Linked DNA regions of Rhinolophus ferrumequinum. The protein of the gene in region 2 interacts with the protein of the main gene of each other region in a biochemical or structural test. Links are inferred from orthologs where the notes say so. Each region holds a gene or a part of one and is shown on either strand. Other genes may lie near its edges. The genes, in order: S100A4 and AREG.

Evidence for each region.
Region 1: the proteins of AREG (region 2) and S100A4 form a complex in vitro, tested with the Homo sapiens proteins (2 studies listed by IntAct, with this or other methods). The link is inferred for Rhinolophus ferrumequinum from reciprocal best matches to the Homo sapiens genes AREG and S100A4.

Annotation. Positions count from the first base shown.
Region 1 is NC_046305.1:52,503,855-52,515,265, forward strand, and holds S100A4 (protein S100-A4), read right to left. Parts: upstream 4,353-11,411; 5' UTR 4,196-4,352; intron 3,371-4,195; 5' UTR 3,356-3,370; coding exon 3,215-3,355; intron 2,506-3,214; coding exon 2,341-2,505; 3' UTR 2,209-2,340; downstream 1-2,208. Other genes in the region: S100A3 (protein S100-A3), read right to left, coding at 5,819-5,983, 6,423-6,563. UniProt on the Homo sapiens protein: Calcium-binding protein that plays a role in various cellular processes including motility, angiogenesis, cell differentiation, apoptosis, and autophagy.
Region 2 is NC_046288.1:31,187,599-31,199,937, reverse strand, and holds the start of AREG (amphiregulin), read right to left. Parts: upstream 5,429-12,339; 5' UTR 5,221-5,428; coding exon 5,160-5,220; intron 4,023-5,159; coding exon 3,774-4,022; intron 1,134-3,773; coding exon 932-1,133; intron 194-931; coding exon 38-193; intron 1-37.

The DNA.
Region 1 (11,411 bases), on a different chromosome or scaffold from region 2:
TGAGGGCTGCAGGTAAATCTGTACAGAGTCCAGAGCAAGCAGGAAGAAGCCAGTTCTTGAACCAGACCTGTCATTCACCTCCCACCTCCCAAAAAACTCAGCTTCTCCCCACCTCCAGGAGACTCAGCCAAGACCGCAGTAGACGCAGGGGCGTCTGCAACAGCGTCTTGGCTGGTTCTGATTCCCACCTTTCCCCCAAAACCCCTTCTCAGGAAAGGCTGATAGCCACAGTTCCAAATTCCCTGCCCTCCTCCCTGAGCACGTGCCCCACTCATCGAGCTGGGTCTTCCTTGGTGGAGGTCACCACGGCTTTTCACACCCTGGCCTCATCCCAGCTTGCCCCACCATATAGACAGGTAGGGAGCTTAGACAGAAGGACTCACCGAGGAAGAAATAAGCCAGGGAACCCAGGCAGCAGAAGTAGGCTCACTCCCACTGCTCTCTGCCTTTATTCCCTCTCTCCAGTCTCTGGGAAACCAGGGCAGGGGCAGGGCCAATGAGAAGAGGCCAGGGACACGAGGAGACCCAGGTCAGAGCCTCCTGGGACAGGACTGGGGACGAATCCAGTGGGGGAATGAGTGGGGGACGATGTTTCCTGCCAAGGGCATGGTCAAGGTCAAGGTCATTAGCTGGTCGGGAGCCTGAGGGTTTTAAAGGGCTTTCAAATGGTTTCTCCTAAACCTCAATCATCTTCCTGGGAAAGAATCGTCAGAGACCGTTGGAATGGAGGGCTGAGAGACAGGGATTGGGGCGGGGGTTAGGGAAGGAGAGGGCCTAGGGATGGGGTAGAGCTTGTGGACTGGGGAGAGCGGGTTCCAACGCAATAAGGAACCGGGTAGGGGTCAGGGATAGCTGCCTGGGACCCAGGAGAGACTCAGACAGTGTTCTACCACCAAGCAGCCCAAGTCTAAGAACAGGACCGAGTGAGGGGTCTAGGACCTACGGCTGCTGCGGCCCCACCCTAGTCTGCCTGGATCCTCCGCACTGCACTAGAGAGGCAGCCAGGACTGGTCGCCTAGCAACAGGAGTTCCCAGGTAGAGAGTGATGCAGGAGGCTCAGGCGAGCGCACGCCCATGGATGAGGAAAGAGAAGAGGGAGGAGGAACACTTTTTCCTGGACTAAAATTCCACCCAAGTCTCTGTAGTCACACTCTGACGGAGTATCTGAGTCACCTACCCAACTCTTCTGAAACTTGAGAGAACAACACATGTGATGAGAAGAAAAGGGCAAAGCTCCAACGGTCACGGGGACCCAACCCTCCTGCCTCTGGACCTGCCCTCTCTACTCAGCTCTTCCCAAAGGTCCCCATCCCACCCAGGCATGGCCTGGAAACCTACCCTCAGCGGTCCCCACTGCACACTGGGCTACTGGCTTTTAACCTAAGGAGAAGCAATCCCGTGCCTGGTATTTTCTTGAGGGTGGGGAATCTCAACTTTATTTCTGTGTCTGGAGTTTTGTCTCCAAAATTACAGTCGCCTCCCACCATCTCCCTCTCTCCCACCCCAGCCACTGTCCTCCACTCATCCCTTCCAAGGTCCTTTGTCCTTCTCTGAAAGAACATGATTAATAATTAAGAACAGATGTCACTCACCGCAGGGCCTTTGGGGCAGACCCGGGGGTTGGAGAAGGACACATTCTCAGGCTGCTGCAATGGCCTGGCCACCCCCACAGCGCCTCCCTGATCTGTGGGGACATCCCCCTGGGGTTGGGAGCCAAGGCGCTGGAGGGCGGTGGCAGGGCAGGGCCTGGGCTGTGGACGGCGGGACTGAGCCCTTCTCCACATTCCACACGGGCCTCGCTGCTCCCCGTGACTCAGCCCTTTTCCCCACCTCACCCCCAGGGCACCCAAACTCCTTTCCAAACCCCAACCAGGAGCAGATGTGATCTTCAATCCCACCGAGCCTCAGTTAGAGGTCCTGCCAGAGGCGAGGTGAGGGAGGTGGGAGGGGCGGGTGCTTTGGATAAGGTCCCACAGCTCGGGCGGTCCAAGCCTCTGGGGGCCCCCTTCCTGCCCCCGGTCTCTTCAGAGTCAATGCTGTCACACACACACACACACACACACACACACACACACACAGTCAGCCCACATCCCTCCCCCACCTTCACTAGTCTCCACAAAACTGCAGCCTACACCCAGAGTCCCGCACCCCCCCAAATCCCTCAGCTTCCACCCCACACCCCCACAGAGTCTCAGACCATCAGCCTCGTAGCTTCTAAGAATCTTTATTGACTTGCTCAGCATCGTACACATGTCTGAAGAAGCCCGAGTGAGGTTCTGTGCCCACTACCCCCAGGGTGGACCCCAGCTGGCAGGCCCCCCACTCGCATCTGGGGAGCCCTCATTTCTTCCGGGGTTGCTTATCAGGGAAGCCCTCGAAGAACTCATTGCACATCATGGCGATGCAGGACAGGAAGACACAGTACTCCTGGAAGTCGACCTCGTTGTCCCTGTTACTGTCCAGGTTGCTCATGAGCTTCTGGAAAGCGGCCTCATCCGTCCGTTTCTGCAGGGGGAGAGGTTACAGGTAGAAACCGGGAGTCTGGGGACAGAGCCAAAACTAGAGCAGGCTTCTTCCTGCAGACGGAGCTCAGGCAGGTGCAGCCACTCCTGGGGGGCCCAGCTTTGGAACTCCAGTCTTCAGGGCCAAGCTAGGGAGGGAGAGTACCTGGATGCAACTGGAAAAGGGGACCACATCTCTCCCCCGGGGGGACAATCGTCATGAAAGCAATATATGTCTAAGTTGCATAAAGTTTGATACAGATGGAGCTAGGATTGCTCAGGGGAAATAGGCGTGTGAGTGTCTCCGTAACTGTGCCTTCTTCACAGGTAAAAACCAAATAGAAACTCAAAAAATGGTTCTTTGCTGCAGTGATGGCAAGAGGTGGACCGCCCTGGTTCGTGGACCTCAGCTTTGCACGCTGACTACCTTGGGAAGTTCCTTAGCCCCTCAGAGCGTGAGTTGCCCTTCTGGTCGGTCGTGCCAAGCCCCTGGCCGACTGCCTGGTCCCTAACAGCTTGTTCGTTCTCAGCCCCCTTTTCTGCTGGGCGCCAGGAAATGAGTGACAGGTGCTCACCACGTCTCCACCCGCCTCCGTGACAGATGCCCGCGGCAATGACTGCCCTGCAGAAAGACTGGTGCCTCCCAGGGCCCTGTCCAGCCTCTGACGGGGACACACCACTGGGGGACATACTTCCAGGCAGTAGCCACTCACCCCCAAGAAGCTGGGCATCTCCCGGGTCAACAGGTCCTTTAGCTCCGACTTGTTGAGCTTGAACTTGTCACCCTCCTTGCCTGAGTATTTGTGGAAGGTGGACACCATCACGTCCAGGGCTTTCTCCAGAGGTTGTGCCATGGTGGTTGTCAGGATCTGGGGGTCACAGAGGCATCCTTATCTTCCCCACCCCACCCCAGCTATGCCCCACCCACTCCCATGCCACAGGGGGAGCTGGGAAAGGTGGGTCTCAGCTCCTGGTGGGGAGGGCGTGCACCATGGGAAATGCATGCTTCAGGCAGCAAACACTTCCTGGATTTCAGGCATGCAGGCCCTGGATTTCAGCATGCAAGCTCCCAGGGCGCACTCAGTCCTTTTGGTCCCACAGCTCAGCCCACAGCAGCCCGCCCAGCCCATTCTCCCCGCCCCCCCCCCCCCCCCCAATGCTGGGCGAGGCTGCTGGAGGCCTGCCCAGCATGGAAAAAACCCGGGGTCTAGCGTAGGGAGGGCAGGGTGAGGTGGCAGAGGCAGGGATGCAGGCGAGGGCCGGGGAGGCCAAGTTTGGGCTGGGCTGCTGGAGCTGGCCAGAGGCTGATGGGACACTGCCAGACAAAAGCCCACGGTTGCCTTCTGACTTCACTTTGCTTCCCACACCCGAGTGTGCACACACAGGCTTGTGCAGCCCAGCAAACACAAGCCAATGTGCGCACCCACGAGTCAAACATGCACCAGGACAACACTACAGCCACACAACATACTATAGAGAGCTTGAATCCAGCCAACCGCACGCGTCTTTCTTTTTGTTTCCGTTCTCCCTTGCTCATGCACGGGCGCGCACACATGCATCCCACCCCAGAGCTTCCACATCGGAACCGCACATCTGGACCCACTTAGCACATCTGGCCCCCACCAGCCTCCCCTTCTCCTGTCCCAGCCTCAGCCTGACACCCGATGCGTGCCAGTCATGCGACCACAACTCACCAGGTCGAGAGAGAGGAAACGCTGAGAAGAGAGGGTTGGGGAGACAGGAAGAATGGGGAGAGCCCAGCGGTTGGACCTATTTATACCCTGGGCAGGCCCTGCCCATGGCAGAGGATGGGGGAGAACGGGAGACAACCCTCTGCCCGGCCTGTGTGATGCATGCCAGGCCCCCCTCCCCGCCCCCCGCCCACCAGCCCAGCCTAGAAATGCAGCTCCCTGCCCCTGGCAGCCACAGACAATGGGCGAGCCCCAGTGGGCGCAGGCAGGGGCCTCAGCCCCACCCCTCCTCCCCCCAGTGTACACAGCTCAGCCTGAGTTTTAGGGAACTGGAGGAAGGGACAGTCTGTGCCTGGAGCATAGAAGACAGGGAGCAAGTGGTCCCACCCAGCAGCTAGGAAAGGGGGTCCAGGGGTGGTGGGTGACAGGTGGGAAATTGCCCTGAGGGAGGGGACCCCAAGCTCAGCGCTTGGCACAGCTGACACTGCCTTTCTCCCTTCCCCAAAGTGTTCTCTGCCATGTTGAGTGAGGCCCAGGGCAGGAGCTGGGGGGCTGGGAGAAGCAGGTATCCCCCAAAGGAGGCCCTGGGACCAAGCTTGCCAGTGATGAGACAGAGGTGGAGTGGGAAGTGGGAGGCAGGTGTGGGCCTCAGGGACGGTGTGAAGGTACTAAGAGCAGGCGGGGAGGGGCAGAGGTCAGGAACGGGAGTTTAGAGTTGTGCTGGGCGTCAGGAATGACGAACAGGGTGGGAAGTGAGGGGTGAAACGGCCCAAAATGGGGGATTCACCCCTTGGGTGGGGTATAAACTCAGGGATTGAGAGCAGGTCAGAAGTGGGGGTTAAGCTCCTCAGGCGGGGGTGGTTTCGGGCGTGGAGTCTGCCTCAAGGGCTCCTCTTCCCGCTCCAAGGCCAGGCACCCCTCCCCGGTGTGGGACAGCACCCTAATCAGACCTCAGGCGCCCTAATCCTATTAGTGCCACTCTGGGCGCCCACAGCCCGGGGCAGGGAACAACCCCGCCCCAGACCCAGGGCCCCACCCTCCGTTCAGATCATCCTGTCATGAGGACTGAGTTCCATCCCCAGGGAAGCTCCGGCTGCCCTCTGGCTCCCAAAGAGAGAGACACAGAGAGAGAGACAGAGAGAGCCCAACACGGTCTGTGTGGATCCCACCCCTCCTGCTGGACCCGTGACATCCTCCAGTGGAAAAGTCCAGAGAGGAGCCATGACCTCCGCAGGACTGCCCCCCGGCTGGCCTGTAAGAAGAACCAAAGCACACCGAGTGACACCAGGTCTTTATTGGGAGTTCAGCAGGCCCTTTCCCACCAGGGCCTCCTTCGTGCACATGCTCTGGGGGGCCTGGGCAGTCTCAAAGCGCCCCTGCCTCTCCCATCACACACCACAGCCGGGAGGCAGCGGGTGGCCGCTCTGCATGTCACTAGCTGTGATCCTGGGGACAGGTCCCTTCACAGGTCCCTGCCCCAGGCAACAGGGGTTAGGATATCAGGGGCAGACCTGGGAGATTCCACATGAGAAGGATGCAGAAGAGAGGGCAGGGGGTATGGGTGCCATGCCCAGGACCCCACAGGGCAGAGCTGGAGCAGGTCCCGGGCAGACCCTGCGGCAGAGGCTACTGGGGGCAGGGGGGCTCCGGGGAGCAGTCCTTGAAGTAGTCATGGCAGTAGGTGCAGAGGCAGGCCAGTGAGCGCACGTACTCCACGAAATCCACCTCGCCGTCCTTGTTGGCGTCCAGAACACTCATGAATTTACTGTAGTCACACTCCCGGAACTCCGTCTGTGTGGGGGAGGGGGCCACGGGGGGCAGGATGCCTCACACACGCTGCTTCCCTCCCCCTACTCCTGGGCGATCCCACCCATCCCAACCCACAGCCCTTCTGGGCCCAACCTGGCCGACCTGCTCTGATAACTCACCGTGCCGACCCCCGCCCCCCCCCATTCTCCTTCCCAGATTATTTGTGGAGCAACCCACTATGGCTGCTGAGGGCCTCCTGTGTGTTTCTTTACTGTACTCTCACTGCATCCTCCAGCAGCCCTGCAAAGCGGCACGTGTGATGAGGAAACGATTCCTGCCCTGTCACTTTCCTGCCTGGTGTCCTCGCCCCACGGTCTGGCCTCCCCCACTTCCTGCTGTCCTCTGCTCAGAGCGTGTCCCAGGCCTCTCTGTGCAGAGTCCAAGCGGTATTCCCCAGAGGCTGGGCACCCCAGGGGCTCACCGGGGTCCAGGTGGGCAGCTCCTTCTGCACCAGCTCCTTGAGCTCCGCCTGGCACAGCTTATGCTTGTCCCCGCAGCGCCCCGCATATTCCCGGAAGGTGCAAACGATGGCAGCCACCGCCTGCTCCAGAGGCCTGGCCATTCTCACTGTCACAGAACAAAGATGTGGCCCATAGCAGAGGCCCCGGTCACCGCCCTGTACCTCTGCCCTCCATGTTCCGGGCCTGTCCCAGACCTGTCTTCATTTCCACACAAGCCCGCCTCCTCTGAGCAGCCCTCCCTGACCACACCAGCACCTGCTAATCTATTTCTGTGCTGTGCCCCCATTGTTATTTTCCTGGACAGAGGTCTCATTTCCCCAACATCACTGCAAACCCCTCAGGGAGAGTGCCCTCCCCCGACCCCCCCACAGAGGATTCCCTGATTCTCTCCACCTTTTCTCATCCCCAGCACCCAGGAAGGACTCAGTCCCACTCTGCACCACGCCATGACAAGCAGCTCCCGACCCTGGAAGGCTCCTTCCTCTCAGGACCCCAGATCTCCTTCTGTAGGAACTCGTTCAACCCTTGCCCGCTCTCCCTGTTCTCAGGCCCTTGGAGGAGCCGGGCATTGTCAGGGAGGGTCGGGTCTGAGAGGAGCTCCCACCACCTCACCACCCTTCACCATCCCTCCTCCCCCGAACTCAGGGACTCATCATCCAAAGGAAATGCCCCCTGCCTCTCACTAGGTGTGCAGTCCCAGGTGAGCCATTTACTCCGACCTGGGTCTCAGGTGCGTTATCTGTAAAGTGGGGTCAGTCCCACCTCACAGGCCTAGTCGGGGAGCAAGCTCAGGCATTTACCAATCTGTGATCTGCCCCAGCTGAGCCCACCCTCCGGACCCCTGGGGGTCTTGAGACAGGAGGCTCAGCATTAGGGTACCCTGTTCTGTTAGAGGGGAAGCCCTTCATGGCACTGCCCCCCTCACCCCACTCCACCCCATTCCACTGGACCCTTGCATCGCCTTCTGGGAAGAGCCTCCAGCCTGGTGAAACCCGAAGGCAGCCAGGAAGACAAGTGTTGTTTTCATGTGAGCCCGGTGACTCACTCGGTTCCCCCAGGGGACAGGAGTCTTGTAACAAGGCAGCCAGGGCCAAGCCTCTCCCTCTAATGAGTCCCCCTCTGCTGGGCCCTGTACAGCAAATGGCCAGCACGGTTGTGGCTATGGAAAGGGGGAGGCGGGGGTGATGGGACCAAGCACCCCCCGGGGTCTGACTCTTTGTGCCGGCCCAGGATTGGAGCAGGCTGTCCACCTTCCCAGGACAGGAAAGGGCCCTGATCCCAGGGACTAAGCCTCACGGGTGCTCAGCTGCCCCTCTGGGCTCCTGCCAGCCTGCCTGGCGCCACCACTGCTGCTTTTCCAGAAGCTAGGTGCCTAGAAACCCGAGGGAATCTGTTGTTCCCCATGCAGCCTGGCCTGTCTCAACCCGTTGGAAGAAAGAAGGACGGAGGCAAGGGGAGTTGCAGGGGGTTCACTGAGGGTCTCACCAGTGCTTTTAGCCCATTGGCCCCTCCCCAGGGCCAGACCTCAGCCCTGCACGCCCCTAACCCAACCTTCCCGACAGCCCCTCACCGTACAAGAGAAGCTGTGACTTCCCTCACCCCATCAATCCCAGCTTTGGTCATCCCTCTGCCCCCGTGCCCACACCCGGGACCAGGGGACCCTCCCTGAACTGCCCGACCCCCAGTCCAGAGCAGGACCCAAGCAGTTGGCACTCACCCCTGGTGGTTGGCGGTTCAGCTGTAGGAGCCTAGAGACAGGGCAGCCCTATTTGTAGTCTCCCAGGGAAGGAAGAGGGCAATTATGGGGGGCCCAAGTAGGTCAAGCTGAGGGTGCCCCCGGGGGCTTCCCTGCCTCCTTCCCTGGCAGTCCCTATTACAGGCCCGGCCGCCCACCTATCCACGCACACATCAAAGACCCAGTCTGGGCATCAGACACTGCACCCCTTCATTCCCCCTCCGCCCTCCCCTAGAGCTGGGAACTGGGGACAGCCTCCTGCCTGTCCCCTTCTGTCGCTGGAGGAGACAGGCTGGGCTAGTCCATCAGATCCATTCCCTATCTCCTCACTCTGAACAGACACCCCGTAATACAATGTGGGAACACACTCTAGCCTGGCGTACATCTATGCCCCCAGAGAACCCCTGCGCCAGGGGTTCCCCTCTTGGAGCATCTGGTTAAGCCCTTCATTTACAGGTGAGAAGACGGAGGCCATGGGACACACCTGCCTGATCCCCAGATGTGTGTTTGGTAGCTGTGGGCTGCCAACTGCTCGCCTCCCTGGGAAGGGCAGCTGCGGGATGTGCTGGGGAAGAAAGAGTCTCCTTCTACCCTTCCAGGGTCTTGGGCTGGTCTCATACTCAAATTGACATACGACACATTAACAGAGTAACACATTTCATTCCCTACGTGGGGGGTGCTCCATAAGAATACGGGGCCCACAGGCAGTCAGGTGACAGGGGCTTATGTGCTCTTCTGAACTAAGGAGAAGGGGCTAGGGATCTGGGACTTCAAAAAGGAGGAAGACAATTCACATGGAGATGGAAAAGCAAATGTGGAAGGGTCAGGGAGGGACTCAGAGAGGACTCTGGCTCCAATCACAGCTGAGCCCCCCTTCAACACACCTACCCCCATTCTTTGTAGATCTCTCTGGGGATAGAGCTCTTCCTGGACCAGGCCCTTTACCTAAATTATTTCAGACAGTTAAAGGGGAGGTAAAAGTACTTTCTTAGGCTTTGGGGCCTCCATTGTCTTCAGCTCAAAATGATGTCCTGCCAGGGATGGCACGTGCTGGGGATCCTTCCGAATGCCCACGGATGACTTTGAGGCACAGGAGGAAGGTGTGTTTTGCTCCTAGGGGCGTTTGCGTCCGTCTAGGCTGAGTTCTCTGGCTACACTCCCCCCCGACCCCCTCCCACAGTGCTGTGCGTGGAGGTGGGCTGCAGACTCCTGCATGGGCTGCCTGGGACTAGAGCTCAGCCCCACTGTTCCTTGTGATCCCATGGGGTGGGGTGGGTTTCCTCAGCTTTGAACTGAAGCAAGTAGCCCTTTAGGGTCCCAGTATGATGGGGAGTGTCCCCCTTGTTGCCCACCTCGAGTGAGCCCTGGGCTTCGGCTCTGTGTTCTTCACTCCACAAACCGTCAAAGCCAAAGGTCATTTTGGCTCGGTTTGGCCAATGTCTTCCAGGCGCTATTAGCCCTGGTGCACTCCTCGCCTCCCGGAGTCTGCTTTACTGAGAGCTTGATCTTCCCACTCCTTCCTGCCTTGTCAGCATTCAATACTTTGAAAAAGATTTTTTTTTTTTTTTCAAATTCTATCCCGCATTTCTTGTTGTTGTTTTTAGCTGGAGCAGGCACAGACCACCGTATTACCAAAAATGGAAATCCCTTCTGAAGAGGTTCAGAACAGGCCTCCCCAAGATGTGTCACTTGGGCTGGTGAATTATTTTGAGCTGAAAGCAACCGAGACCCTGTGGGCCCACGAGAAACGTTTACCCCTCCCTTAAGCAACGTAAATGAGTTATAATGAGTTATCGCCAGAAAGTTCTTCTATGTGGCAGTGTAAACATCTAATTACTGAACACCTGCTCTTTTTATCGTCGCGCCTATGACCCTCCCTACCTCTAACGCCCCCAAGGCACCTTACCTCATCCTCCGCTCAGAACGTCATATGTGCCTCAGTTTAACTTTCTGCCTCTGAACCTCTCGTGTCGCTGGGATTCCCACACATACGTATGTAATTAAACTCGATTATTTTTCTCTTGTTAATCTGTCTCGTGTTGCTTTAATTATTAGACCAGCGGGGAGAAGCGAGGCGGGGAGAGCAAAGTTTTTTCCTCCCCTCACTTCATGTCACTTCTCCATTCCCTCCCTCACCCCTGAACCTGAGAGACCCCTCCTCATTTCACAGAGAGAGAAGCCAGGACCCAGAAGAGTGTGGGAAGGGCCGGAGGCGGTGAGCTCCTCGTAGACGCAGCCAGAGCAATAACACCTTGAGGTCACCCCAGGCCCCCAGTGCCCAGACCTCGCCTGTGCCACTTTCTCCTTGAAGACCCAGCCCCTCTGGGTGAGGAGAGCAAGCAACTGGGAGGGAAGGGCAGGCTGTGATTAGCCCTGTTTTATAGGCAAGGAATTAGGGGGAGTTGGGCACGGAAGTGAGGGCCAGAGTGGCCCCGCAATTAACTCGGTTCCAGGTCAAGCATTTATTCTCGTCTGTGATATCCCCGCTCCACCACCAGCCACCTCCCGGAAGCCAGTCATCCCCCAGCTCTGGCCCTCATTTTCCTCACCTGTCAATCATCGAGGGCAATAATGGAAACCACTTCACAGCATGGCGGTGGGGCTTAAATGAGCTAATCCATACAAAGCTCATAAATAAGGAGAGCCTGGCACATGATAAGGGCATCAATGTAAACTGAGAGGTGGGTACCTTGCCCAAGGTCACGTGACTCGTCAGTGGCAGGGCGAAGGGCCATTCGTTCTTTATAGAAACATTTAGAGACAACTGTCCACAGCATTGAGGGGGCAGCCGTAAACTAAACAAAGTCCCTGCTCCGTGGAAATGACAATCTAACGAAGCAAACAGACAATAACAAATACGTGTGTGATAGACTGTAAATAGACGGGTTGAAATGCCAGGGAGAACACTAAAGCAGGGATGAGGGAAGGAAAATGGTGGTGGGCCCAGGGATCTTTATATACGTGGTCAGGGCAGAGCCAGGCGAAGGGGGCAGGAGGGGGCAGGCAGAGAGGGAGGTCTGGGTACAGGCGCTTTGGGGACCGTCATGGAAAGAACCCTTCCTCGGACCCTCCCCCCTAGTTCCACGTCCCTCTTGCCACCTGACTTCGAGCACGTCCTTTGTCTTGTTTGGGCCTTAAATTTCTTGCCCTCCTAAATGGATTGGGAAGATTCCTACCTGAGGCTCGGATGTCAAAGTGCTCTGCGTCCCTTGCT
Region 2 (12,339 bases):
TATTTTATGAGGAATTTTTAAGTTATGCCATACTTACAGGATTGTAATAACAACAGCAATAGCTGTGAAACCCACAACTGTGACAAAGGCAGCTATGACTGCTAACGCAATTTTTGATAAATCACTGTCAACCATGCTGTGAGTCTTCATGGACTTTTCCCCACACCGTTCACCAAAGTAATCCTGAGGACATCTGTAAACAACACACATTCCAAAATCAAAATAACTGAAAACACTCTGTATGTTTTAGGCTTACTTTCCAAGTCATAACCATTTAATTCTAACATTAAAAAAAAAAATGTCATTCCATAGATTTGCATTTCAAAAACATGAGACATAGAACGCATTTGAGCCAAAGACCTATTTGCATAAGAACAAATTGAGATTAGTTTGGGTGTGATACTCCAGGAAGACACACCTTTTCATTCTTGAGCTCCTTTTATGACCAACTGATGAGTTCAGTGACTTGTTATGCAGCTAATATAATAATACATTCCACTATCATTTCATGTACTAGCAGCTTTTGGGGGTAAAGAGGATAGAACAACATTATGTGAAAAGTATCTTTAGGTCCTTTTTTAACTAGAGGTTTTATAAAATATGTGTTGTAAAATGATGGTTTATACCAGGAGCCAGCAAACTACAGCCCTTGTGTCAAATCTGGCCACTTGCCAGGCTCTTTTTATTTTTTCTGACAGTGGGCAAGCCTAGAATGGTTTTTACGTTTTTAAATGTTTACATTTTAATTGGTCATATTAGTACATACATAATCTTGACCCAAAAATCCTAAAATATTTACTTTCTGTCCCTTAAGGAAAAAGGTTTGCAGAACTTTGTTTTTTACATTAGAAAAATAAATGATTTTCTACAGCTAGGAATTTCAGACATGGTGTTAGAAATACAGAATTCTATATAATTTAGGAAAACTTACTTGCATGTTACTGTTTCCAGGTGCTCTATGTATTTGCATTCTCCATTAATGCAGAAATTTTTAAACTCTGCGTCACACGGATTTTTCTTCTTTTTGTTTCTCCTATTTTTTCCATTTCTGCCTCTTTTTTTCTTTCTTTTGGGTTTATCAGAAGTTTGTTCAGTTTCTGTTTTGTTCTTCTTGGGTTTAACTACCTGTTCAACTAAAATTTAAAAATACATGTATTTATTGACAACAATCTCTCTTGATCTTAAATATCATTTTGGAGAAGAGGGAATGAATTCCCAGCAGTGAGAGCTCATATGTCCATATTTGTTTCATTATTTAACACAAGTCATCTACAATAATTGGGCAAAGAGAGTATCTGTATTGTGTGGCACTTAAAAATCTGAATCCTTTGTTATTACCTTAGAAACATATTCTGAATTTATTTCTATCAGTATTAGTATTGTTGTTGTTATTATTGATTATTTGAGTTACCTATCTAAGAAAAATCCATGAAATATTTTATACATTTGTTGAATTTTTAATTTATACCAAGTTCTTGGTAATGAGCATTTATTCAATTTAACCCAAATCACAGTTGAATGTGTTGTAACCCAGATGATACAGATAAGAACACTGAAGTTGAGTGAAGACAAGTAAATTGCCCTAGGATACACAACTAGAAAATGGCAGTGTTGGGATGTTAAAGCCTGTTATTTCTTCACCACACGGTGTTTTCTCATGGAAAAGGTCAATGCCATTGATTAAAGTGGGACGTGGGTATATTTGTGGATTTTATTTACTTATATCGGTCTAGTGCCGATTATGATAATTGGGAATTAGTGTGTATTACCTGGGGGTGGAAAAAAACAGATATCTACATTAGAGTTAATCAACTTTCTCCAACTCCCATATTATAGCAGATTATAATCGATACCTTTCAGGGAATACATTTCTGTGATCAATCTATTTGGAAAAATAGGAGACAGATATAGTTGTACTTGATTTTTCAGAGATTCATCTTAACTCTTCAGATCCACAGAAACATTTGTTCAGTGTTACAGTTATGCAGGATAGAGTTTACCCACATGTTAAATATAGGAAGGAGGAGTTGCCATGCTAGAGCTGTGCATTTTGTTCTACTAATCCCTGAATAGGTTTATCTGAACAAGTATTTAGCAAACAGCTCAGTGAAAAGAAGCAAATATGATAATGTCATTTATTCCATTAGTCATAATGGTCCTGCAGCACCCATTAAATAGAAAACATTAGAAACATAGGGAAGGATAGTCAAGATACAACCCTGTGATTATGGAAACTGCAAATAAATATTATGAATATTTTAGCTGGTTATTATGACAACATTAACAATAGTCAAATTAGGGGCAATGTTTAATAGGAAGATATGCAATTTTTATATTGAAACTTTCCTCTGGTGATAAAAAACTGCCATGAGTTAGAAAAAGTCTACTTGTAGAAACATCTTAAATGGCTACGACTGCACTTTATCAAACATGTTACAAATTTTAGACAGAGGCAAATAGTCACTATGCTGAAGTGCTGCAATAGACATTAACTCCATGGGTTCTACAGCCTTTCAAGGGAGTTCAACCAACATTTTCACTCTTATCTCACAATGCATTGCAATTTAAAGCACTACCCATTTTCACCACTAACAATTTATTTGGCCTTTTGAATTTTTAACAGCTTGAAACATTTTTAAGAGAACAATTTTAAGAATCTGGATGGTCTAATATCATTCCTCCAAAAGTAAACATTATAATGCACCCTCTTCCTACCGTACGTAAAAGTGTAAGTTCCAAAGCAAGGGAGTCAAGTGGAGCATTCACTGGAATTTTCCAACCAGTCACTATCTCTATGGTGTCATCAGTTCTGCCTTTAACAGTTCTGGGAGCCAGACAGAGGTGGAGGAGTCAGGGAAACTAAGGTCAGGAGAGAAGGGGCCTTATGTCCTGCTTCCATAGTGGATGCTCCTAGGATATTTAGATCTGATTTAGTGATGACCTCATCTGTCCTCAAACTCCAAAGTAATATGAAGGTACTGAGCAATACTTACCTCTTACTTTGGTACCCTTATTTTAAACAGATTCTCCCTTTTAAAGATCAGATAACATCACAAGAAAAGAAAACTATGGGTCACTATTATTGAAATGACAACTGGGATTTGGGGTTAAATTGAAAATTTAGCAAAATCCATGCATATCTGTCCTTTAATATTTCCAGAGAGTATTATTATTATTATTGTTATTATTATTATTATTACCAGTTTCTCAATACCTACTACTTAACGCTAAAGTCCAGTTGCTCTTGTCCCATTCCTTCCTTTCATTCCCATATTTGTGTTAGAATGCAGTTATTTAGGGAAGAGTGGTGATGGGGACCGAATAAAGAAGTTGAGATACAGAGTAGATAGGACTGGTTGGTGTCTATATCTGTCTCTCAGAACGGAGGTCACGTGGTACAGTGGGAAAGGGCATAGTATCTGGAATCAGACAGATAGGGGTTCTCATTCTGGCTTATCTGCTTGCTAGCTGTGGAACCTTGGGCAGAACACTTAATCTTCTCAAGCCTCAGTTATCACATCTGTAAAATGATAATTCGTACTTGATAAAGTTGTTGTGAACATTTGACCTAATAGACATAAACCATGCAGACACATAGGATGTGTCCACATATAGCTCTTTCCATCTCAGTTTCTAGCTCACCTAGCAGAGTGTACTACAGATACACACACCAGAAAGCCACTAGAACATGCTGGGAGTGGCTTTTCTTTTGAAACAGCTTTGGTCAGATAAACACATCAGATAGGCTACATTTTCACTTACTCGCTACTCACCTCTGACTGAATCATCTACGATATAGACTGATATTTGTGGTTCATTATCATACTCTTCTGCATAGTCATAGTCGATCCCTGAGGACAGTTCTCTACCAGACGGAATCTCACTCACAGGGGAAATTTCGCTTTCTGAGGATATTTCACTTCTTGAGGTAGCCTCAAATCCATCAGCACTGTGGTCCCCAGAAAATGGCTCCCCTCTCGCAGAGTGGGTGTCATTGACGTCCAAGCCAGAAGCATAACTGGCTATGGGAGAAAGAACAAAGGAAGAAAAGGTATAGTAGAGTGCTTTTCTCACCAGTCAGCTGCCCTTCAGGAGAAATGTTTATCTTCTGATATCAAAGTAGTTATTGCACATGTGCTATTGTTTGTGATTGAGTCACTTATGAAAGCAACTTTACGTTTTGCCAACAAGTAAACTCAGCTGTTCCAATTACAGAGCTTCTTTCATCAAGGTTTTCTTTTCCGTAGACAGTCTACATTAATTTCCATATCAAAAAAAATACTGCCAAATAGGCAAATTAACCTAATATACATAATTACTTAACAGGTATTGTCTAAATATTCCCATCACTTCACATACCAAATGCATCTGTGTTTGCTAGAATGCCACCTGTCTCATTATATCTAGAACCATAGGCAGGTTCTAGATGTAATGGATAAATACCAGATTTTCTTAACACGTGCTCACATTTATAAAAGACTATATACACAAAATGTAAACATTAATATAAATGGTAATTGATAATAATGATTATTATTGTCATTGTTTCACTATTCTTCTTACACAGAGGGGAAAAACACCCTGGGAAATAGTTAAGATTTGGGACCCAGAATTTCAAGCCCCTGCTTTATAATCCTTTAGGTCTCAATAAAACAGAGTCAGACTAGTGCTTTTAACTTTTCCCTGGGAGGACACCAGGCCTTCTACGAAGATAAAAACAAAATCAGTAGACAGAGGAGATGGAGAATTTAGGCAGGAGGCAGCACTCCTGGGAAAAGGACTTAACCACTGAGATCTGCAGAAATCACTTCACCTCTCTGGACTTCGGTTCCTGTATGTAAAGCGAAGGTTTGGATCACAGGATCTTTAAAGTCCCCTTCAGTTGGACTAAAGTAAAAGTACAGGGGTTCTCCGGGACTCTCTTTCTGGCCCGGAACGTCTGGGACATGTGCTCGCTTTCCTTTCTCCCAAGCAATAACCCTAGGAAGGGGGCCACCGTGAACACCTCCCGTGGGACAGAGTTGGGAACACCGAAGGGCGACTCTTTTTTTTTTTTTTTTTTTTTTTTTTTTTTTTTTAAAGCAGCAACATTCAAGAGGCGACCGCTTTTGCCCGCGGTGGGAGAAGCGCCCGGCAGCTCAGAGCGGGGATGTCCTCACCTGAGCCGAGGATCACGAGCGACAGCACCACCGGCGCAGGCGGCAGCAGCAGGGCTCTCATTGGTCCCTCGGCGCGGCGGCGTCGCGGTCTCTGGGGCAACGGAGACTGGCGCTGTGGGCTGGAGAAGGAGGTGGTGGCAGACCAGGGGGACGAGGGGCGGTGAGCGGCTGCGCTCGACGGCGCGCCGGGATCGGGCGCTCAGCGCAGCGGGAGCTCGCCTCGGGATCGCCGGGCTCCGACTCGGGCGCAGGCACAAGGCGTGCGAACATTCCGGAGGCGCGGTGCTCACCTGCCGCTTTATAGGGCGGGCGGGGACCGAGGTATTGCCCGTGACGTCACAGCCGCCTCTGTGGGTGGAGGCGGCCGCCGCCCCAGAAGAGGTTACTACCCCAAAACCACACACGGATGGCAGGCACCACGCCTCCTTCTAGCGCAGAGAGCCACTGGGAGGAAATGGAAATTAAACCCCAAGCTGCGAGCCTAAAATATGCCAGATCCTAATCGAGGGTGGTAGTGAGTGGTGTTTAGGACCTAAGAATCTGACAAAGTCCCAATTTTTCAAAGTCCGTAAAAAACCTCCGTATATACTTTGGTTGATTTTAATATCATAACAAAGATTAACTAGAGAAGTTCCCTTTTAAGATGCAAACGTACTTTAAAACCAAGAGTAATTTAATGATAGCCCAATGTCTTTAACAAGGATACATGAAATTCATTAAATGACCAGAGAGAGCGCACCTCCGCACGAGGAGCGGCTTTATTTATGATGGGCCTGTGTCTCCACCAAGGGCTCTTTCCCACCCGCTACTGTGAAATGGCCAGAATTTCAAACCATCTCCCTTCCCATTTTTTTTTTTTAGGTGGCCCAGGGTTCTCATCAAAATTAATATTTATTATTGCCAAACTATACACTTAAAATATCACACCATCTCACTCAGTATCCTTGCTGGGTATCATCTTAACCTGTTTTACAAGGACACATGGCAGCTTTAACAAAGCAAGGAGAATTTTACACAACTGGTCATGGCAGAAGCCAGATGGATTTAATTCAAGTTAATCTGACTCTAAAATCTCTTTCTACTCTTATAAAGAAGTTAGACTAAATTGATCTTTGAAAAGAGAGTTTCTGAGAACAACACTTAGCATAAAGGAATAATTTCTGCTGGTAGCATATTGGCACTTGGATGAAGGGTGGTGCCCAAGATTGTTCCTTTCAAAACTGGAGATAAAGGGCCAGCTTTAAAGGCCCATTTTGAACCTAGTCGGGCATTTAATCATGACAAGTAGATAAAATGAAGAGGAGGGAACTGCAGAATTTGACTAACCTTGATGTAGAAATACCACCAGAGTTGGATTGTTCTTGACTTGAAGAAGAGCAAAGAGGCAAAAGCATTGTTCTAAGAGTTGACTTGTCCTAATGATACGTATCTCTTCCTTGATTTTTTCCAGTAAAGCAGCTTTTCTAGCAATGTGGGTCCCAGTGCATTATGTCCTAATTCTGGGAAACTTTTTTTAAGCTACTTACTTTTTAATGGCATATCATAGTGAGTAGGCTAAATAATATCATACATTGAATTTAGTAGGATGAAATACGCAGTCATGACTCATGCCTTCTCTCCTGTTCAACATTTGTTGAGAGCATATTTTGTGTAATCCACTGTGTTTTTTTTTTAATGTGGGATGGGGGCAGTAAAGACGGAGATTAAATGATGACCACCTCCCTGCTGTGCAGGAGTTCCATGTAGTGTGGGTAAACTACACAGAAAAGTAATTCTGTTGTATCAGATGATGAGGATTCAGAATGCCATAGAAAACAAGGATGCAGTTCTATTTTGCCCATTCATATCATGGAAAGCTTTGTGGAAAGATGAGAGGACACTCACTGATTTTTCCCAGCAGAAAATGTAAATGGCAAGAATACCTGATGACAAGGTGTGACCAAGAATGAAGAAAGTAAGACTGGAAAGATGACACTGCCCATGCAAGGGTGAAGCAGACGCCTGCATTGTCATCTTTTTTGGTGGATGAGGCGATTGTGATTCAGAGATTCAGAACGTTGTCAGGAGATTTCAAAAGACGGTGGAAATTTTGTTTAGAGTTCAGGCTATCAGCCTATACTTTTGCACCTTTCTACTCTCATAGATTACCATTTTGTTCTAGTCCTCTATTACCTTTTTTTTTCTCTCTCTTCATATTGAGATGATTCCAATTTGTACATGTCTGTCATTGAAAATATTTTATTTTCTTTAAAATAAAAGTGGGCTCTTTACATTGGAAATTGTTTTGTCTTTTTCCAATTGGAAATTTAGAGTGTAATAATTTATATTGGTATGAAATATAACATAGCATCTTAGGGGCACAATGGTTAGTGCTTAGTATGAGCTTTAGATTCAAACCAATTGGATTTTCATATACAAATTCCACCACATACTAAGTTACTTAATATTTGAAAGACTAAGATTCCTCATCTGAAAATAGAAATAAAGATACCTGCCTGCTGCTAAGCAGATCAAATGAGAGAAGATTCATAAACAGGTAGCACAGATCCCTGCATATAGTGAGTGCTCAAGAAATGGCACTATTATCACTAACCATGACATTATGATAGTTACATTATATCAATCACATTAAAGAATTAAGTAACATAAGTGGAGCTACTCACAGAGCAAGTAAAAGAATTTCCTTCGATATTTTCAAGCTATGAACTCTGTCCTTGCTTCACATTGAGACTAACCATTTTGACTATTTTATGGTGCCTCATAGGGTAACATGGGGCATCATCATAATTGGATCACAATGGCATTACCTTTTTATGACTCATGGCATTCTGTAATATATGCATGAGAAGAAAACCAACCTCATGTAAGTGTGAGATTCTTTACATTATGCATGTTAAGCTGAGACAAAGAGGAACAATTTCAAGAAATTCAAGTAGAGAAGGAACTCTTTTTTATCCTAATAAATTGGTGGTTCTCTCACCTTGTATGAGGTTAAGGGAAGCCCTAAGGGCAAATGCTCTAGCCAACCACTCGTTTTGGTGCCTACTATCTGGATCCTGATAATATCTGATATGTATTATGCAAACAAACTCACTTTGACTCTGATAAAAGGTGTTCCTTAGAACCAAAAGTATAATTATATTTTGTTCATGTAATTGATCTTGAGTTTTTATGGATAGTCCCAGGGTCTGAGTAAGTATTACATCATGGTCATTTTTATGAGTCAATACACGAAACCCCAAACTAAAATTAAGGAATTTTCAAATGGATAAGTAACATTTCCTATATTATTAATAAATGCTTTAGCTCCATTTAAATATCTATAATTTTCTACTTTTCACTTTGGAATTTACTTGTGAAGAATATATGATTTCTAGTTCCTTCAAAAAGAGTTCTCTTTACATGAACTTGATTGTTGGGTACCTTGACAAAGGTAAAATACAATTACTTGCCCTTTACAGCCTTGACATGATGGAGCAAAGCCTAGCAGATGGAGCTGAAGGCAGTGGATGATTTGATATAATGGAAAGTAAGTAAATGTAATATACCATTAACTACATTTGCACAAACTAAAAAAAATGAATCCACTTGATAGTTCATCTACTCATGAAGTATATTTGGAGAACTAGATACTCTTCTAGGTAGTGGGGAGAGAACTTTCAAAAAGTCATAATATCCTTGTTTTTAAGGACCTTATGTTCTTATTAAGGGGAAAAACATAATAAGCAAGAAACAATACATAAAGGAATTTTCAGTAGTAAGAAGTGCCAAGAAAGAAAATATGTGATATAGAGAACTTGGAATGGTAGAGAAAGATGATAAAAAGAAATAACAAGATAGGACCTACACTTAAGTAATTCACAGAATAAACAGATAGCAGAATAAAATGGAGAAGATTATCCTACTAAATAATAATAACTGTGGAAGAACAGAGATAGACATGGACAGGAAGAATGAGGGATGCTGAACAGACAGCGGCCTTGAATTGGGCCTCAAAAATGTGGAGGATTTGGGGGGTTCTACAAGAATTCATTTCACTAATCTTTTCTCAAATACCCCAAGAGCTCTCTTCAGCTGAGCAAAGGTCAGCACATCAGAATCACCTGAGAACTTTTTCAAAATGTACACTCTGTTCTCCTTGCTTGATTCAGTAGGCTTGGTGTGGGACCTGGGTCTGTGTATTTTTTTTAAGAACTTTCAAGGAAATTCTGATGTGCACCTCTGATTAAGAACAACTCCACTCGGAGATACCTAGGCGAAAAAAGTCAAAGTAGTTTCGGAGAGTTTGCTTACCTCTGGGCCTGCACATTCATGTAGATGGAAGTTTCGTTAGAAATGTGAAAGATGGAGAAATAAATTTCAACAGGAAACATGTAAGTTAATGTGATGAAGACATTTATTTTACCTCTAAGAAACTCATGTTACAAACTGATTCAGATACTATTCCTTTAAGTAGGGAGCTACTTTCGTGTAATAAAAATATGTCTGAATATATGGAAAAGAGAAAATCCACTTTTCACTTAGTTCTTCAGGAATCAGTTTGTCACTTAAATAGAATCAGATCTACATTAAATTATTATGGATCTTCCCTAACTCCAGTCTGAATGTTAGACCAGAGAACAGTGTCTGTAACCATCAGACGGGGAATTAAGAAGCATGTCAAATTTTAGTATGCTATTAATTCTTCATTAAAATTAGGATTTCAGAATAAGATTTGGCATGTTATTATTTCAGAAAAGTAATATATTAAAGTCAGATGGTTGAAGTGGTCAGAGTTCTATGAAAGATTTTTACAGATTACCAATTATAGTCATTAAAAAATTATATCCTTGATCTTTTATTATTTCCAAAAAACTTAATCTTTCCATTTCTGCTTTTCCTATATTCTTGTATTTAATTTTGTAGTTTATCACTTCAGTTATCGCACATTCAATATTGTGTGATGATAACTTTTCATAGTCTCTGAACTCTTCTATTTGCCTTTTTCTTACTTAAAAATATACAACACAGGCATATCTCTGAGAATTAAATGAATCTATTATTAATTAACCATAATTTAATGTGCTTCGGTTATGAGTTTAGGTAGTCTCTTTAAATAGTCATAAATTTTTAGCTAAGCTAAGCTAAGTTACATATAGTTTGTTGTATTTACTTATGAACACAACTGGCTTTTGTTTCCGAGTTCAATTAGATCAGCAGTTTTTAAATATCATAGGTGAATAAATTACTAATTTTTTTAATAGACCACTCCTGTACAGTAGGTCATAGGCAGAGATAGGTTGAACCACAAAGAAACTGGCCTTTGTATTTCATATTCCCCAAATCTTTCTGAATGTGTGCACTGAAATTACATGGCCAGAGTAAAAAAAAGAAAAAGTATTTGGAAGTTATATGGAAAAATACAGACACATGTAGAACTCATAGAAAAAAAGGAATTGAAAATGCAGAGGGTGCCAAAAAAAATTTATACACGTTTTAAGGAAAAAAAACTGTATTAAAATTGTAATACTCAATATATACTGATAACAAAAGATGAATACAAGTCACATTTGACTTCTGCGATTACAAGAGGTGCTCAAAGTGGTTACCGTCATCATAATTTTAATACAGTTTTTTCCTTTCTTAAAATGTGTATACTTTTTCCGGCCCCTCTGTGTATATAGATAAATATGTGTGCATAGAAACATTCTGAAAGGATATATAAAAAATGTTAACAATGTTTATCTTTGGCTGAGAAATCAGTTGCTTATCTGTACGTCCTAATATGTGTACAAAGATTATGTATTACTTCTCATTTTTTTAAGTTAAAAACCCCAGTCCAATCATGAGGCTGATTTCTCAAGCAAACTGATTTGACACAATTTCTATAATCAGTCACATCAGTTTCTCCAATGAGGATGCAATTGTGAGAGAAAATGATCGTGTGGGTCCTCTGCTTTTTCCCACCCCTTCATACCCTTGTGTAGTTAGTTGCTCCCAGCACCCGTGTTGTCCTTTGCCGTGTAAGGTAGTGAGGAGTAGAGTGAGGTGATTAAGGTTGTAGCTTCTGAGGGTGAGATGACTGGGTTTTAGTGCAGCTCTTCCCCTTCCCAACTGGGGTAAATTATTAAGTGCTTTGTGGGTTTTAGAGGTTTCTCACCTCTAAAAAAGGAGATGATGATAAGAGTACCAGAGTCATAAAGTATTTGTCAGGTTTAAAAGTGATAATGCATGTAAAACACTTGGAGCAGAATCTGACCTTTCATAATCACTCAAAATATCTAATGTGTTGTTGTTATTATTATTAATAATAACAACAATAATATTGAGACCAATGAAAAAAGTACTATGGATTCCAATAAAATTTTTTCTAATGTGTATTTGTGGACAGAAATAAATAAGAAAATTGTGTTATAACTGATTTCTTAATTTTAGAACCTCTGCTTACTGTGACAGATAAGCCTGCAGGAATTCAAAGGTTTTTTAGAATGATGAAGGCCAAAAGAGTGAGCCCTGTTATTAAGGTCTGGTTTCAAACTGCTTGCACTGCTGACTCCACAGACATGACCTTTCCAGAGCATTACTTGCTTTTAAACATCGAAACTCTACATAGAAGTTTCCGGTCCTTATTTTTTTTTTTTCCAGCTGTTTGATATTTTCCTACCATGTGATTTCAACACACCATAATTTCCTGCAGAATCAGGTCATTTCTACTGTGAATACATTGTGAGGGAAATTTCTTTTGCACCATAAACTAACCCAGTTGACCCTGAAGTAAACGGAAGAGCTATTTTTTCAATACTAACTACCTTATCAATAATTTGGCATAGACTCTTCTCAATATCCATTCTTATATCTTTCCTTGGTAACAGAGCCCTGATATTATTCACACTGGCAATATGCCCAACTAAAACATAATGTTTCCCGGGTATCCTCAAAGATAATGGTGGCCATGTGACTAAGTTCTGCTAGTGAGGTCCGGTGAACTTAAGCAGAGTTTATGTGTAGAATTTCTTAAAAGGCTTCTTGAAGGGAGCTGATGAAAGTAGGAGCCGCACGTTTATCGTGCTTCTCCCTTTACTCCTTTCCGGTTGCCTGAAATATGGTCACTTGGTTGCCTCTCCAGGAATCATACTGGACCCAACCCTGAATCTGGAGGGTATGTGCTAGAGTGGCAGAAGAGAAAGACATGAAGAGCTTG